Drosophila melanogaster: one gene and its partner. The gene in region 2 interacts genetically with the main gene of each other region. Each region holds a gene or a part of one and is shown on either strand. Other genes may lie near its edges.

Evidence for each region.
Region 1: of Mtpalpha (region 2) and Cln3, changing one enhances a phenotype caused by changing the other (phenotypic enhancement), as found in Drosophila melanogaster (one study listed by BioGRID).

What each region holds. Positions count from the first base shown.
Region 1 is NT_037436.4:17,808,376-17,816,615, forward strand, and holds Cln3 (Cln3), read right to left. Parts: upstream 5,745-8,240; 5' UTR 5,685-5,744; intron 4,517-5,684; exon of another isoform or gene 4,421-4,516; intron 2,625-4,420; 5' UTR 2,615-2,624; coding exon 2,411-2,614; intron 2,339-2,410; coding exon 2,208-2,338; intron 2,120-2,207; coding exon 1,961-2,119; intron 1,902-1,960; coding exon 1,562-1,901; intron 1,505-1,561; coding exon 1,070-1,504; 3' UTR 856-1,069; downstream 1-855. Other genes in the region: CG32191 (uncharacterized protein), read right to left, coding at 45-204, 262-372; Ir75a (ionotropic receptor 75a), read right to left, coding at 7,287-7,512, 7,610-7,890, 7,948-8,240.
Region 2 is NT_033779.5:9,572,079-9,578,742, forward strand, and holds Mtpalpha (mitochondrial trifunctional protein alpha subunit), read right to left. Parts: upstream 4,692-6,664; 5' UTR 4,516-4,691; coding exon 4,440-4,515; intron 4,303-4,439; exon of another isoform or gene 4,152-4,302; coding exon 3,424-4,151; intron 3,358-3,423; coding exon 3,217-3,357; intron 3,161-3,216; coding exon 2,391-3,160; intron 2,329-2,390; coding exon 1,692-2,328; 3' UTR 1,495-1,691; downstream 1-1,494. Other genes in the region: brwl (brickwall), read left to right, coding at 1-887.

The DNA of each region.
Region 1 (8,240 bases), on a different chromosome or scaffold from region 2:
TGATAATAACAATCCCTGGTATACAAAAGGTAATCGATACTAACCCGTGTGTATTGGATACCGGCCGCTGAGCAATGCTCCCCGAGATGGAGTACACATTGCCGGAGCGTAGAGCCGATCCAGTAGACGACCGTGATAGGCCAGGGCGTCGATATTGGGAGTTAGAAACTCCCGTCCGCCTCGAAAGCTCACATCATCGAAGCCCTGAGAGAGTGTTTGCTTTAGAAATGGGTTGATTTATGACGGCGAAACTAGTCCCACCATGTCGTCGGCCATAATGATGATTATGTTGGGGCGCCGTGCTGCAGCAGATTCGTCCGACTTCACCCGTTGGAGGCAGAGCAAAAGCAGAAACGCTGATAAGCCCCGCATCTTGGTTACTCAACTTACGTATTAGACAATCGCGTAATATTCGACTGCCTTGCACGGCAGCTACCGATCAACTGAAACGGCGAGCGGTCCACGTAACATCTCGCCCCAAATCGGTTTGGGTCTCGATCTCCCAATCTGTCTCAGCCGGCATCTCACTGCCAAACCGATCGTTTGGCGTTCGATTTGAAACCGATCAAACCGAATTAGAAGCCACAAGCAACAAGTTTATTTAATAACCGAGCAGCTCCATCTAAGTAATTATAATGTGTAGGTAGTGTAAATACGTACAATTTAAGAGGCTTTTTGTTGGAGACAGTTGAATAAACTCAGAGCAAGTGGGGCGCATTCTGTCTGGGATCAGTGTGCTTATCAAAGTGGTTAGCCGTGAGCACTTTGTGCCGAAAAAGCCAAACTTTGCCAAGGAAAACATTTTCGGAAAAGTGCTTGCATCTGGGTACGTTGAAATTAAATGAAATCGAATGTACAGTGTAGTGTTTATTTTTTTTTTTTATTAAACTAAACTTATAGAGTAGTCTAACAGCAGCATACTAACTATACAACGATCTATCTGGTTACCGGATGTCCAGTGATCCAGTGATTAATACTATAGGGACATGCACAGACACACACGCTTATTTGGCTAAACACGCACACAGTAAAGGCATAATCTGATCCTGATTCTGATCCTCGATCCGTATCACCAAACAAGGCTTCTGGCCGCGGCCGGAAGACCACAGATGGCGTTGTGCACGGGAATGGCCAGAAATCCGGCCAGAGCAATGCCATAGGAGTCCGACTGTACCACCATGGCCATGGCGAACTGCTGGCGCTCCGGCGAAATCTCCTTGGACATCCGATAGAAGGTGTTCACGTAAGCACCGCCGCCCAGAAGTCCCTCCCACAGGACGATGGCGAACACGATCCAGATGCTAGGCGTGTACCACCAGATAACCTCGGTGAGGAAGTATACCACGTTGACGAACTGGAAGATGGACATCAGCCAGATCTTGTCCAGCTGGAAGAGATTGACAGAGGAGCGCGAGATAAAGACTCCGATCTGATAGTCCACATTTAGCCAGCGGTACTGCGAGTCCTTGTCCAGGAATATATCTTCAAAGTAAACCAGTTCGAACTGAAAAATGGATGACAATGAATGTTTTTTTGTATGAATTAAAGAAAGCTAAATTACCAATCCTTGATTGATGAAGTATTCGAAGAAGTAAACCAGGCAAAGGGGCAACATATATTTGAAGAGGTGCTTGATATAGAAGAGCTTTTCCTTGAACCCAACTAATGGCTTCTCATCGCTGATCAGGACTTCCGTGGACTCAACCGTGGTAACCGGCAATATATCAACTTGTGGACGACGAAGCAGCAACCAGAATGCAAAGGCCTCGATCGCAGGGAAGATCAGCATAATCAGCATAGTATCTCTGGGACTGAAGTCTAAGGATCTCAAGCTAGCATAGCTCAAGGATCCGATAACTCCAGCGCCACCAGTTCCGGACGACCAAGTGGAGATCACATTCCTAAGAAAAACATATGGAATTAATGATATTTTGTTTAGTACTTTTACCAGACAACTCACTTATTGTATCGCGAAGAATAGGCCAAGAAAGTGGTTTCTCCTATTCCGCTGCTAGCCGAAGTGATGATGACACCCAAAAGAGCCATCCATTCGGCATTGGCGAATCCAACCAGGAGGAAACCAGCTGCAGAAAAGGCCACGGCAAGAGCTATACGGAAACTAATAAATAAAATGCGATTTTGTGTTAGTATCATATCAAGTTTAATGCATCAAATCAAATTTATTTAATATTGTAGATAGTACTCACTTCACCCAAAATGGAAAGAATGGCATTAGAATCTTGACAAATAATGAGGGCAGCACGTCTGCCAGCAAGATGGCACCTGTTGAAACCAAGTGACAGTTTCTTCCCGACGAGCTTTCTTCCGATTCATCATTCTAAAAAGAAAAAATTATGCAGGCGAACAATTAATAAATGTATTAAAAGTGCTATAATCCTATTGTAATTACCGGATTAAACTGCTTGATAATATCGTGCGCAGCACTCAGCATCACCACGTATCCGTAGTTGTTGCACAGACCGAGGATCCAGTAGGAAGTAAGATCCCGCCATAGACCCCGATCTTGGCGAGAGCTGCGAGAGGCGTCTCCAGGGGTGACCACCACTTGGGGATCATGTTCGGCCTCAGCCTCTTGCTGCTTGGTTGCCGTCATATTGAGCCGGCTAAACAAAAATTAAAAAACCCTTTTGTTTAATATTTTTAGTGCAAATCCAACAAATTTATTTGATTCACTTCATAACTTTTTTTACCATTTACTATCTCTAATCTAAACTCATCTAGTTTCTCCTAAGAAATCAACAACTTATTTGTCTCTAAAAAAATTAATGTTGCTCTTTTTAAAAGCTTTAGCATTTACGCAAATTGTTTAATTGGTCAAGCGTGAACGAAGGTGGTTTTAAGACTTCAAAACGGCAACGAAATCAATATCACGTTTTTATAATAACAGTTTCTTTTAGTAGCTTTAGTTCAACATTTATTTGTTCCAAGAAACAAATCAGCGCCGTACCCTTAGTTCATGATCACCTTACTTAATTTACTTTGAATGGGCCAACTATTAATTGAATTCTCTTTCCCAGCTATGAGCTATTTATACTCTTAAAAGAAACTGCTATTCACTCTTCTAAGCTGAGCAAATACTACTGCTCGAGTCGAATTTAAATAAATTGTTTAATTTCCCAAGCCGAGCATGTGCGTAAGCAGTCTTGAACTTGACATAATATGGTCACTAGGGGAAGTCGCTAAAATATATGGAAAGTACGTGCAATAAATGCTTAAAAATATACAAATTGTGTTGAAGGTAGGAAAAGACAGCTGTTTAGTTCAGACTCAGGGTTTGACGGGTTAAAAGACTCATATTTATATAGCTAAGTGCCTTGCGGGATATTTTCACGGGAGGTGCACACGTATTTCCTATTTTACTATTTGAATTTGTAATAAAGTAGCCTATTACTATTACTTTACACATTTCTCAGGCATTTAACTATGCTATATAACTAGCTAATTTGCAATGTTTGGAGGTTTTAAATAAATAAGATTTTAGATAACATTCAGCTGTAGCGGGAAATAAACTACATATGTGCGATTTTACCGGATATATAGATGTACGTATATATATCACAGTTTTTTGGCAATGTTTTCGGTGGTGCAAAGTGCAGATGAATTGATTTGTTTACATCCGACAGAACTTGTGACTGATAATAGATCGAAGAGGAAATGGGGACAACAGATGGGATAATATAATCTAGACCGTTCAATGCATATATTCCCAATTCTCATTAGCGCCCTTGACTGGCAGCTTTTAATTATCCAGATCATTTAAGTTAACCTTGCAACAAGCCAAACCAATTCAAATAATGTAATCAACAGTTAGCACGAGCCCTGTTAGCCAACAAAGAAAAGGCACGCTAACTGTAAAATAATTATAACAAATTAACTAATTTAATTAATTCAGAGACCAGGCAAATGCTTTTTAGCCGTCCTGCACTTCGTTGGCCACTGACTCATTCAAGAGATTCACTTGATCCATTTGCGCAGTTATGAAGTTGTTGACCCAATTCGCAGTGCACTTTCCTATCCAGTTACTTTTGCTTGCTATCAAAAAATATGATACCCGATACTCAAAATTTATTTCGAAATATCACTGGTAAATTGAGAATGCTAGATCTTGCATATATCTTGAAAAAAAAATTCTGAAGCATAGAGTGCTTAAAGGGATTTTCGTTTTCAAATATAACTTTTTAATCAGTAAATTAATAGATAAAATAATTTTTTTTCCATAAGAAATTTTAAGCCTTTGATATTTAATTTCGCATTTTATGTAATATAATATGTAAAAGGTTGAATTTACAACAAATGTAAAAATGTTTACATAGAGTTAACTTTCTATTGCACTTTATAACTTTTCATAGCACTAATGGGTTCTTCAACTGCTCTTGTTCACTATAAAGTACAACCGTACATCTTGCCACTATTTTTCGGCTTGGTAGTTCTAAGGTTCCGAGAACTGTTGGATACGACGGCGACGACGATTCGCGCTTCGAGGCGATCGGTGAGTGACTGAACCTGTGCGAACCCTCCCAACGGAACGAGAACCAATAACAAGCGGCGACTACAATGGAGCCAAGCGGCTGGGAGCCCAAGTATGAGGTATCACGCGAGTTGCCAGCGGCAGCATAAAAACTAAAACAATTAAAAGATGCAGCAAGTGCCAAAGTGCCGATCAGCAGGTTGATCGTACGTAGATCGCTAGCAGGTAGCACACATTACAGATTACATATATAGTATCATTTAATTCAATTCAATTCGATTTGATTCGATTTGATTCGAGCGGCAAAAGCGGGGGAGTTGAGGTCGGTCAGCGAACGTCACGTTTTTCGAGTTGGCAAGTGCATTCGCATTGGGTTTAGAATACCCCTTCTTCTCAAGAGTGCGAAGATAGCGATAAGATGTTCGAATTTCTCGATGGGGGAAAATCTGCGAACCTTGTGATTCTTTATGGTGGGAAATGCTTATCGGCTAGCGGTCTTTGGCATTCAAAGATCCCAAGCAATCCGATAGTCGAACTGGTATAGATTAGATTATGAAGATATTGTGTCACTACGAAGGGTTCTTAAAGATTTTCCAATACTTTTGAACGCATGTGCTAGCTCTTGATTAATGTATTGAAAACGATCAAGTTAGCAACTGTATTTTGGAGGGTATTTCAAACTTCGTGTTTGTGTTAGCTTTCGTAATTAGCACCTGTTATTGAATAAGTCATAGCTATTTTAATTACGCTTAACTTTAAGTTAGGCAGTTTAATTGCGGATAGCGCTGTTAGCTTTAATTTGTGCTGCCCAATATCAAGTAAGCTCTAATGGTCGTTCCCTCTAAGTTTATTGTTTTTCAACGGGCGCACGTGGCGTATGCGTAATCCGAAAAGTGCTCCTAAGCTCAAAAACACCTGTTTTCTAGTAGAAAGATTTTAAAAAGTAGTATCGATAAATTCACTTGTTTTTTTTTTTTTAAAGTTACACAGTAAACCAAACGGAGGTCATTTAACTCGATGACAAACGGTTCGGCTATGCAAATCACATTTACCCGTTCAACTGGAAATGCTGGCTAATTTTATAACAATTTCATTTGAAACGGAACCCTGAGATACTTTCTACGGCCATAAATCCGGCGTAAAATGCAATAAACATTACTCCCCCGAGTGAATACCAAACACCAGCCGTACGTACACTTTCGAATTATTTCCGGCTGCCACTCAATCCGCTCGAGCAATGAAAATCTACTGAGGACTCGTCGAATACGGGCCTAGATTACAGCCGGACCAGTTGCAATCGACATTATCATTATCGTTAAGTGGCCAGCAGATTAAATTACAGATAAGACGTTCGCAGCATTGGGCCATATAAATCTTAAGATATCACTGGCAATGGCAATTCGTATATGACAGGCTCTGGGGAACAGAAAGGGTAATCAAACTGATGAGGTGATGGCCATAAGCCCGCTTCCCCCTTTTTATCTTTTCCCGTACACTTAAGTCTAATAATCGTACCGGCCAAGAGTTTGGTCATAATAAATTTCTCGGGTATCGTTTTCCCATCCACAATAGCTCCGTTTAAATTAAATCCGTTTCGCGCTCATTTAGCACGTACGGAAACCGCCAAAACCAATTTCACACCGCAGCCGCAAAGCATGGAACACTTTTTACTTGCCACAGGGCTATACATTGCATTTAAAAAAGAGAACATGTTGTTGACAAATTGCAAAATAAAGTGGTTAAGGCTGCTAGGGATAAAAAGGGACACCCGTGTTCGATGTTGTAAATAATAAATAATTCACAATTGCTTGTCAATTTCGAGTCACTCCAAAGTTGTCCTCCCTGCGAAGGGAAAGTAGTCCTTTCATGGCATAAACTATGGCCAAAGCGATGCCCTGTTGACAGCCAGATTGAGTTGACAAATTGTTAAGGCAATTTGTTATAGTAATACTTTGGGAATTCCGGAATGCCAGTGAGTGCTGTTTGGCAAGCAGTTGTGTCAGTTGCATTTTAATGGTCGACTGGGAGTCATTTAAGAACGAAGTTCTTAATACTATTTGCTTGACTTAGGCAAATGTAAAATCTTGAAAAAATATATAATTTACTGCGTATTTGATTAGCAGCCATATAATACCATTTATTTGCTCCTACACCCAATTTAATAATATTTGTGCGAACTCAACTCACTCTTATTTATTGTACAATCAATTTCGATAAAGCTTTGACACGTCCCTTCCCATATTTGTCGCCTCTGGCGATGCGCCATCATTAAAATACCATAAATCATCTCGGGGCAACATGCGATGTCTGCGGTAGGGAAACTACTGATTCCGGTGAAATTCGGGGAAATGCGAAAAACACAACTGTTAACTGTTTCTAATAGGCCGTATTAGGCTCACAATCAGTTATCTAACATTCGCACGTGGCATTGGGGAACAAAGTTTCAATTCGAATGTGGCCGTGCACGAAAATGCAAATAAAATGGCTCCAAGAGAATGAATAAAATCATTGCCAAAAGGGAAAATGGAGTATAAAAAGTAACCGCCAAACACGAAAAGTTTTTAATGCAAATACGAAAATCGCATGGAAACATGGCCACCACGTCCTTTGCAAACCCCTTTATCCATCCCTCCGTTTAACGAGCCGTGCTGCAATTTTCCGGCGCGAAAACAGGAAGTGAGGAAAGCGTCGCCCTGCATAATTTTGCGATGCGAAAAGTTAACGCAAAGTGTTTTTATTTTCTCCTGGGTGCAAATAGAATATAGTTGTTACAGCAGCTTAAAGCGATTTTAAAGCACTACGGGTGAAAGGTGAGATGACGCGTGAAAAAGCGCTTCCAGGCCAGTTCCACCAGCAGGATTACCACGACCAGGATGTCGGCGCAGATCAGCATGAGGAGCAGAGGAGCCACGTACTCCATTCCCACGGTGATGACGAAGTTCTGGGCCACGCAGTGCAGCTTCATGTGCACCCAGTAGCTGCGCTGCTTCCGGTAGACACCAGTTTCCAGGATCCTAAGGAATCTAAAATAATACATACGATTTTAATACATTTAAGATGTTTTTGAATAGCATAAAATTTAGTTATACTTGCTTTTGGAAGAGTAGCATAAGGGCTTACCGAAGTCTGAAGAGCTCCTTGTACGTGGAGTTGCGATGTAAGTGCGTGTAGAATAGCTGCTCGGGTCGAAATAGAACTTCGTTCAAATCGCAAATCTCTTGAGCCGTAAAGTACCGCTCCACATATGCATATCCGGAAGAGGTTTCGAACACGTAGACATAGCCAGGATTATCCCTGACCCTTAAAACACCCTGCTCAGCGGGCAACCAGAGTTCAGGATTCTGGGTCTGCGATTCGATTTTGCGTTTTATGAACAAGTGTATTTCCGGTAGTCTTGAGTACTGAAATTAAAAAAGCTCTTTGCAGTTAAGAATGGTTAGGAATGGAATGAAACCAACATTTAGGTAGCTCTTGGTGAAGGGAAGTGGCTCCAAGCCCACGGTTAGGGAACTCTCCGCCAGCTGCCGCATCGTTTTTATCTTGGACTTGACGGGCGAGCTTAGTAGAGATGAAACGACTACGGAAGTGTAGTAGTTGTACATAATAAAGCTGATCAGGAACAGGGCGAAGTAAATTAGTCTGCCTCCAGCGGATCGTGGAATCAAGGACGAACTTTGGATGCAGGCTGCTCCAAAACTGATCAGGAAAGTGCTCAGCAAAGAGGGTAGGTAGTCCAAGCGCCATCGTTTTT
Region 2 (6,664 bases):
TGCCCTTCCTGAAGTCCAGCCGTAACTCTTTGGAGGGGAACAACAGTCTGGCCACTCTGTACCAGATGTCCCAGCAGCATTTGCAGCATCAACCATTTCTCCTGCATCCAGCACTCCATGCGACCGAGGAGCACAAGTACTGCGCCAACACTAGCATCAATAATAATAATAATAACAACGACGTCCATAATGGTGAGAGTATGGAGGTCTTGGAGATGAAGTACTCGATATCGGAGAAGGACGATGAGGAGACCATCGACGCCTTTGATCCCGCGGTTACCAACACCCTGGGTATGAATCGTACTTCGTCCACGCCCACTCGCAGTTCTGCCCTTCAAGGAGGCGGAGGCAATTCACCGGCCAGAAGCGATACCGCTAGTGCGGATAGCATGAAAAACTTCATTCCAGATGTGCAGCTGGCCGAGACGGGCTCGCAACTCATCTACAGCGATGGTGGACATGGCACACCACCGCCTCTGCACTACCATCCGCACTCGCATCCACATCCTTTGACATTGTCCATGGATCATCACCCAGCATCCTACGAACCGGGGAGCACGAAAAGAATCAAGACGGAATGCGAGGCCACCAGCACGATGACGAATGCAGGAAGTATTTACGGCGGACTGAGTTCGTCGGAAGTGGCGGACATGGAGTTCTTCCGCAGCATTCTCCCAGATCTGGCGACTCTCACTCCACAGCAACGTCGCAAGTTCAAGATTGGCATTCTGGAGCTAATTGACGACGTTGTAACCCGATATCCCGCCCAGGATCACAGCAACGGAGGAGGCGTATCTGGCGTAGTCAACGGAAGTGGCGGTAGCAGCAATGGGGGATCTGTTAAGCATCAAAGGCGCAGCTCTGGACGCGATTGGAGGAAACAATAAAGGAATAGAAAGTGTATCGGAAAGTCACTAATCCTTAACTAGGGATAGGATAAGTTTAGTTAGAAGCTTAAGGGGGATCTGAAGCTGGAATGGGTACTAATTCGAATCTGAGCTACTTCAGTCCGCTCACTGTTAATGTGTTGTGTCTACTCAATAAGATGGGTATGTTTTCAAAGGCCTTCAATTCTTTCAAGTCCGCGAATTGTTTCGATTTTGACCAACCATTATGAATGGTCCATTTACAAAGAGCTGCAAGAACTTGCATGACCAAATATATACATATATATATGAACAACTAATATATACATTTAAAGCTATTCCGAAATCGAACACATTCAACGAACAAGAAGTAATGAGGTCTCCTTATAAGCCATTTAGTTCTGACGTAGCAGTTAAGGAATTGTGAAAATAGATTTCAAGATTTTAGAAAATGGCTGCTTCGAAAATATGTTAGTTTAAGGACACTGTATATACGCTGCTATTGAAACCTAAACTATAGAATCTGTGTACAAATGAATTTCCGTTTGAGTAAACAAAGAGGGATAAAGAGATAGATCGATATCAAACTGCTGTGTGTAATAATAAACAAATGAAAGTATGGAAAATTACACGGTAAACTTTAATTTAATTGTCGACAACTTCAACAGAGGGCTTTTTATTGGGCCTTGCCCCATTTTTTAGGCAGCGATGGACCACAATAGGTTTCCTTTCTGAGAGAAATGCACAAGGACACGACTTATCTTCGCACTAAAAGCTAAATTTCGTTAGCGGCTCTACGGAGGCTGGGATCGGATTGGATCGGATCTACAACTTCGAGGAGCCAGTCTTGGGGTAGAACTTCTTCGACGGGTCCTTAGCCATGTCGAGCAGGGTCTGAGCGGGCTTGAAGGGAGCTCCGTACAGCTCAGCATAGGATTGCATCTTGCTGACCAGTTTGCCGGCTCCATACTGATCGACCCAGCGGAAGGGACCACCGGAGAATGGCGGGAAGCCCAGGCCGAACACGGCTCCGACATCGCCCTCCAGCGGACTGTCCAGAATCTTCTCCTCCAGACAGAGCACGGCTTCGTTGATGAAGCGGGATACCATACGCAGCGTCAGATCCTCGGGGGCATTGGCTCCCTTTGAGACTAAAGCGTACTTTTGTTTCACGATTTCGAGAGCATCGTTGTTCACTGGACGAGTGCCCCTCTTCTGGCCATCGTACAGGAAGATACCCTTGCCGGACTTGCGTCCGAGGAAACCAGCCAGGACCAGATCATTCATTACTTCCAAGTTTCCACCGCTGAAACGTTCGCCGAATGCCTTTGCCAAGTCGACGGCAATGTGGGAACCCACGTCAATGCCAACCTCATCCGCAAGGGTCGCAGCACCCACGGGGAAGCCAAACTTCTTCGTGTATTGGTCCAGATCCTTGGGGTCCACGCCTTCCTGCAGCAGTCTGACATAAAATATGGGAGTATAATAAACAATTTCACTAGTCATCTTAAAATGCAAACCTACCTGATGGCTTCCGACAGCATGGTGGAGAGGATGCGGGTGGTATAGAAGCCAGGTCCGTCACCAACAGTGATAACGACCTTGCCTTGCTTGAGACCGACGGCCACGGCCTGTGCGATGGTGTCCTTGGAGGTTCCTGGGTGAGTGATGATTTCCAGCAGCTGCATCTTGTCCACGGGCGAGAAGTAGTGCATGCCAACAACCTTCTCGGGACGCGAGCTTCCAGCAGCAATCTTGGTGATGGGAATGGCGCTGGTGTTGGTGGCAATGACGCAGTGCTCTGGAACCACTGCTTCCAGCTCCTTGATCACTCGATGCTTAACCTTGATGTCCTCGAAAACAGCTTCGATGATGATGTCTGCGTTCTTGAAGTCGCTGTAATCAAGAGTGGGCCGCAGACTGGCAAGAGTCTGATCGCGCTCCAGTGCAGAGATTCGCTTGCGCTTCACAGCCGTCTCCAAACCCTTCTGCACTTGTCCAATACCACGAGCCAGGCCGGCTTCGGTGGCATCCTTCATCACCACCTGATATCCCTTATCGACGGAGACCTGTACAATACCGGCGCCCATCAGACCAGCTCCCAGCACACCCACAGTCTTAACCGGACGCTCTGGCTTGCCAAATCGGTTCTTCTTGCACTCCGTTTGTCCACGGAACAGGGCAATCAAACCCTTCGACTCGGGCGTGGCCGATAGCTCGCCGAAGCCCTTGCGCTCCGCCTCGTAACCGGCATCGGTTCCCTTATCCACGCCAGCACGGATCACATCGAGAATCTGTTTGAAGTTATAGGTTACTTACAAATATGAGAATTGCTTGTTCAATATCGAACCTTCAGAGGAGCGGGATAGAGACCGTTCGAGGCCTTGAGCACCTGTTTCCTGGCAGTGTCGAAAATCTTGTTCTTCACAAAGTCGGTGTCCATGACGAAGGACTGGATCTTGCTGACGAGACCGCTTTTCTCGCGATTTACCTGTGTGGATACGGTGGAAAACAAATTAATGATGAAGACTTTAAGGGATTAACTAGTATTTCTTACGCGAAGTTTACCACTAGCCAGATCGTTGGCGACCTGCACGGCGGTCTTCTCCAGGTACTCGATAGTGTTTTGCTCAGCAGGCTGGAGTCCAGGACCTAGGGGATCCACCAACAGATCCACGATGCCCAGTCGTTTGGCGCGATCGGCGCGCACCTGTTTGCCTGTCAGCTCCATATCCAGAGCCGTGGGCACGGATGTAAGCTTGGGCAGGCGGACGGTGCCACCGCCGCCGGGCAGGAGACCCAGCATGACCTCGGGCAGACCCAGTTTGGTCTTGCTGTCCTTGGTGGCAATGCGGTAATGGCAGGCAAGGGCGAGTTCCAGACCACCACCCAGACAGACTCCGCTGATGGCGGCCACAATGGGCTTCTTGCTGCGCTCCATGCGATCGAACATCACCTGGGCGCCGTGGGAGATCAGCGTGGCCTCCTCCGCCGTCTGGCATGCTTCCAGCATCCCGATGTCGGCTCCGGCCACAAAGCAGCCCGGTTTGCCCGAGATCAGCACGGCGGAATTGACGGCAGGATTCGTCTCCAGGTCCTTAATCACTCGCTCGAACTCATCGCTCACTTCGGAGCCCAGGGAATTCACCTTGGCATTGGGTGAGTCGATCTTGATCACAAGCACTCCATTGACCACCTTGGTGTGGAGATGCTTGTTGGCAACCGGTGCGGGATTCGTGGACATTAGGCGGCGCCTCTGGAGAAGCTGGGCCGAAATGGGCAGGGCTGCGTGGGGTTAAGAGATTGTTGTTTGCGATTAGTGCACATTATCTCACGGCACTCGAAATCGGAAATCAGAAAGCGAGAGACAGAAGCTATACGTCAAGGGAGAGTACAAAGTTCAAAGTCCAGTTATGCGGCATCGGGGGAGATTCAGCTAACACGGGAACGGGAGAGAGACAGAGATACCGCTAGAGTACTGCCCATTTCCAAGGGGCCAAATTCCAATGTAGAAGAATTATGGCCTGCAATTTGCACTTTCCCTTTTCATAGCAGAACTTCTAATTAACCCACCTCTGGTGCACTTATTCTGCAGCAATTGCTGTCGCGAAATTTGGCCAACGGCACTCAAAAACCTCGTTGCCGACATTGCTCTCAGTTCGATCTTATAAGATAGTCACTTTTTGCTTACGATAACTATTTGTTTTAATTTTTAACGAACTTTGATCATGCACCGTTAGTTATGTGTTCGCGATTCGCTATAAAAAACTATGCGGCAATTTCTACTTGTTGCACATCCCCAGTGTGACCGCGTTCGTACCAATAAAATATACTACCATAAGTATTTTCTAAATTTTAGCACTAGCCTAAATACCGCACACAGTACAAACTCATCCACCAGGTGTCGCTAGTGTCGTTTTTTTTTTAACTAGGTGGCGCAGGAGATCATAACTAGTGTTACTATTGTAGCAACTTTTAATTTTAAAGTATAAAAGAAAAGTACAAAAAAGAAAAATGAAGAAATGTATATATATATGGGCATTCTATTATGTTTTACGCATAAAACATAATTTCGTACTTGTTTTAGACTGCAAGTAATTTTTAGTTTAAGCGATTTCTGTAGATCACCTTTTTATTGTTATCTTTCATTTTTTTAAGAGAACACAAAATTATAAATCGTATATAATACCAGAGTTTTACAATAACTCGACCCGGTTTACAATACAATATTTCAACGACATTGTTTTTGGGAATCTGTCACGCTGACCCACCCCACAACTCGAGGTCGAACCATTAACAGGCCGCACAATTTGCGGGACACGCATGTCACTCGCATTTTTCAGGTCGCTTCCTCGGATCTCCGAGTTCGAGTCCAGGACTCATTGAAGCCACATTAAGCGCGCCTCATTTGATGCGATGCCATTGTCCTTTCAAGTGGCCACTGCTAAATAGGTTCGGATGAGATTTCGCCAGGCGCTTTATTGTGGCAACACGCCTTTGTGGCCTTTGACGCAGGCGTTTCATGTGGCGTGTACTATAAAGTAAATAGTTAATCGTTTTTCCCCGAAGCTGCAGCTGCGGTCTTGATTTCTCCGCTGATCCGTCTATGATGTGTGAAGAGTCAAAAAAGTCACACTTGAGTTCGTCGGTTTATGTCAACTGCAAAAGTCCGTCAGTCAAATGCTGGTAGATGGCTGCATAAGTGACCTGACCTTTTCCAATCAGCGGGCTTATCAAATGGATAACAATTGGCAGAAGAACCATTATCCACAAAGCTACAATAATGTATTTTACAAATTTTGCAAATTTTAAACTGATTTTAAATAAATAAATGTAATACTACATAGGATAATTATATTTTGAATATAACCATATATGGCATCTAACCATAAATTGAGACCTCTATTTGAGTTTCATTAGTTTGCGAAAATCTGCATTAACAAATTGCCACCGTATAGCATTTGCATTCGAAATTAGTCTCTGGAATTGCAAATGTGAATTTGCGAAACCTCAGATTAGATATCCTATATTCGCGCACTTATTCACGCGAATATTGAATTACACCGGCAACAATGGGATCAGCATCAGTTAATTTGCATAATACCTTTGCGATCTCCGATTCCTCCCCTCGGCACCCAAGGATAACACCAAATGAGCAGCAAAGCCAGCGACTCCACAGAGTTCTCATTTGCATGCGAGTGAGGGTTCGGGCTAAGGGCTAATCAAACAGCAAGGACAAATATTGTTGCAGGATGCGACAGGAAGCACACGGTCGGTTGTGATTTATGGCTGGAAATTAACATAAATGAAATCAAAACATTTTAAATGTTTTCATTTGGGCAAGGGTTCGGCGCAGCCGCACTCGAATTATGTATGCAAATATCCTTTGAAACAAAGTCATTCCTCATTTCTCATTTCTCCTGCAGCTTGGCGAGTGTGCGAATATCCTTGAAGGTCGCACGCGTCAGCGGCACACTTTCCATCCAACATGACAACTAATGGGCGTTTTGTTTATGGTCGATATCAAACCCCCATTAGGGTCGAGTACTCTTTGCCCGTAGTGACTACTTGCAACCCCTTCCCTCGGGCGACCGTTTTTTTTTTTTTTTTATACTTTTAATTATTTATAATCGGCTTGAAAAAAGATCAGAAACAATAACCAAATTTTTGAGTGGCCTCTGACAGGGGGTAAACCGTTTAATCGACCCCGAATTTAATTGCCGTTGAAAATGGAATTTAAAATTTTGTTTACCTCTTTTGGTAATGAAAATATTGTATATATGTGTAGTAAGGAAAAC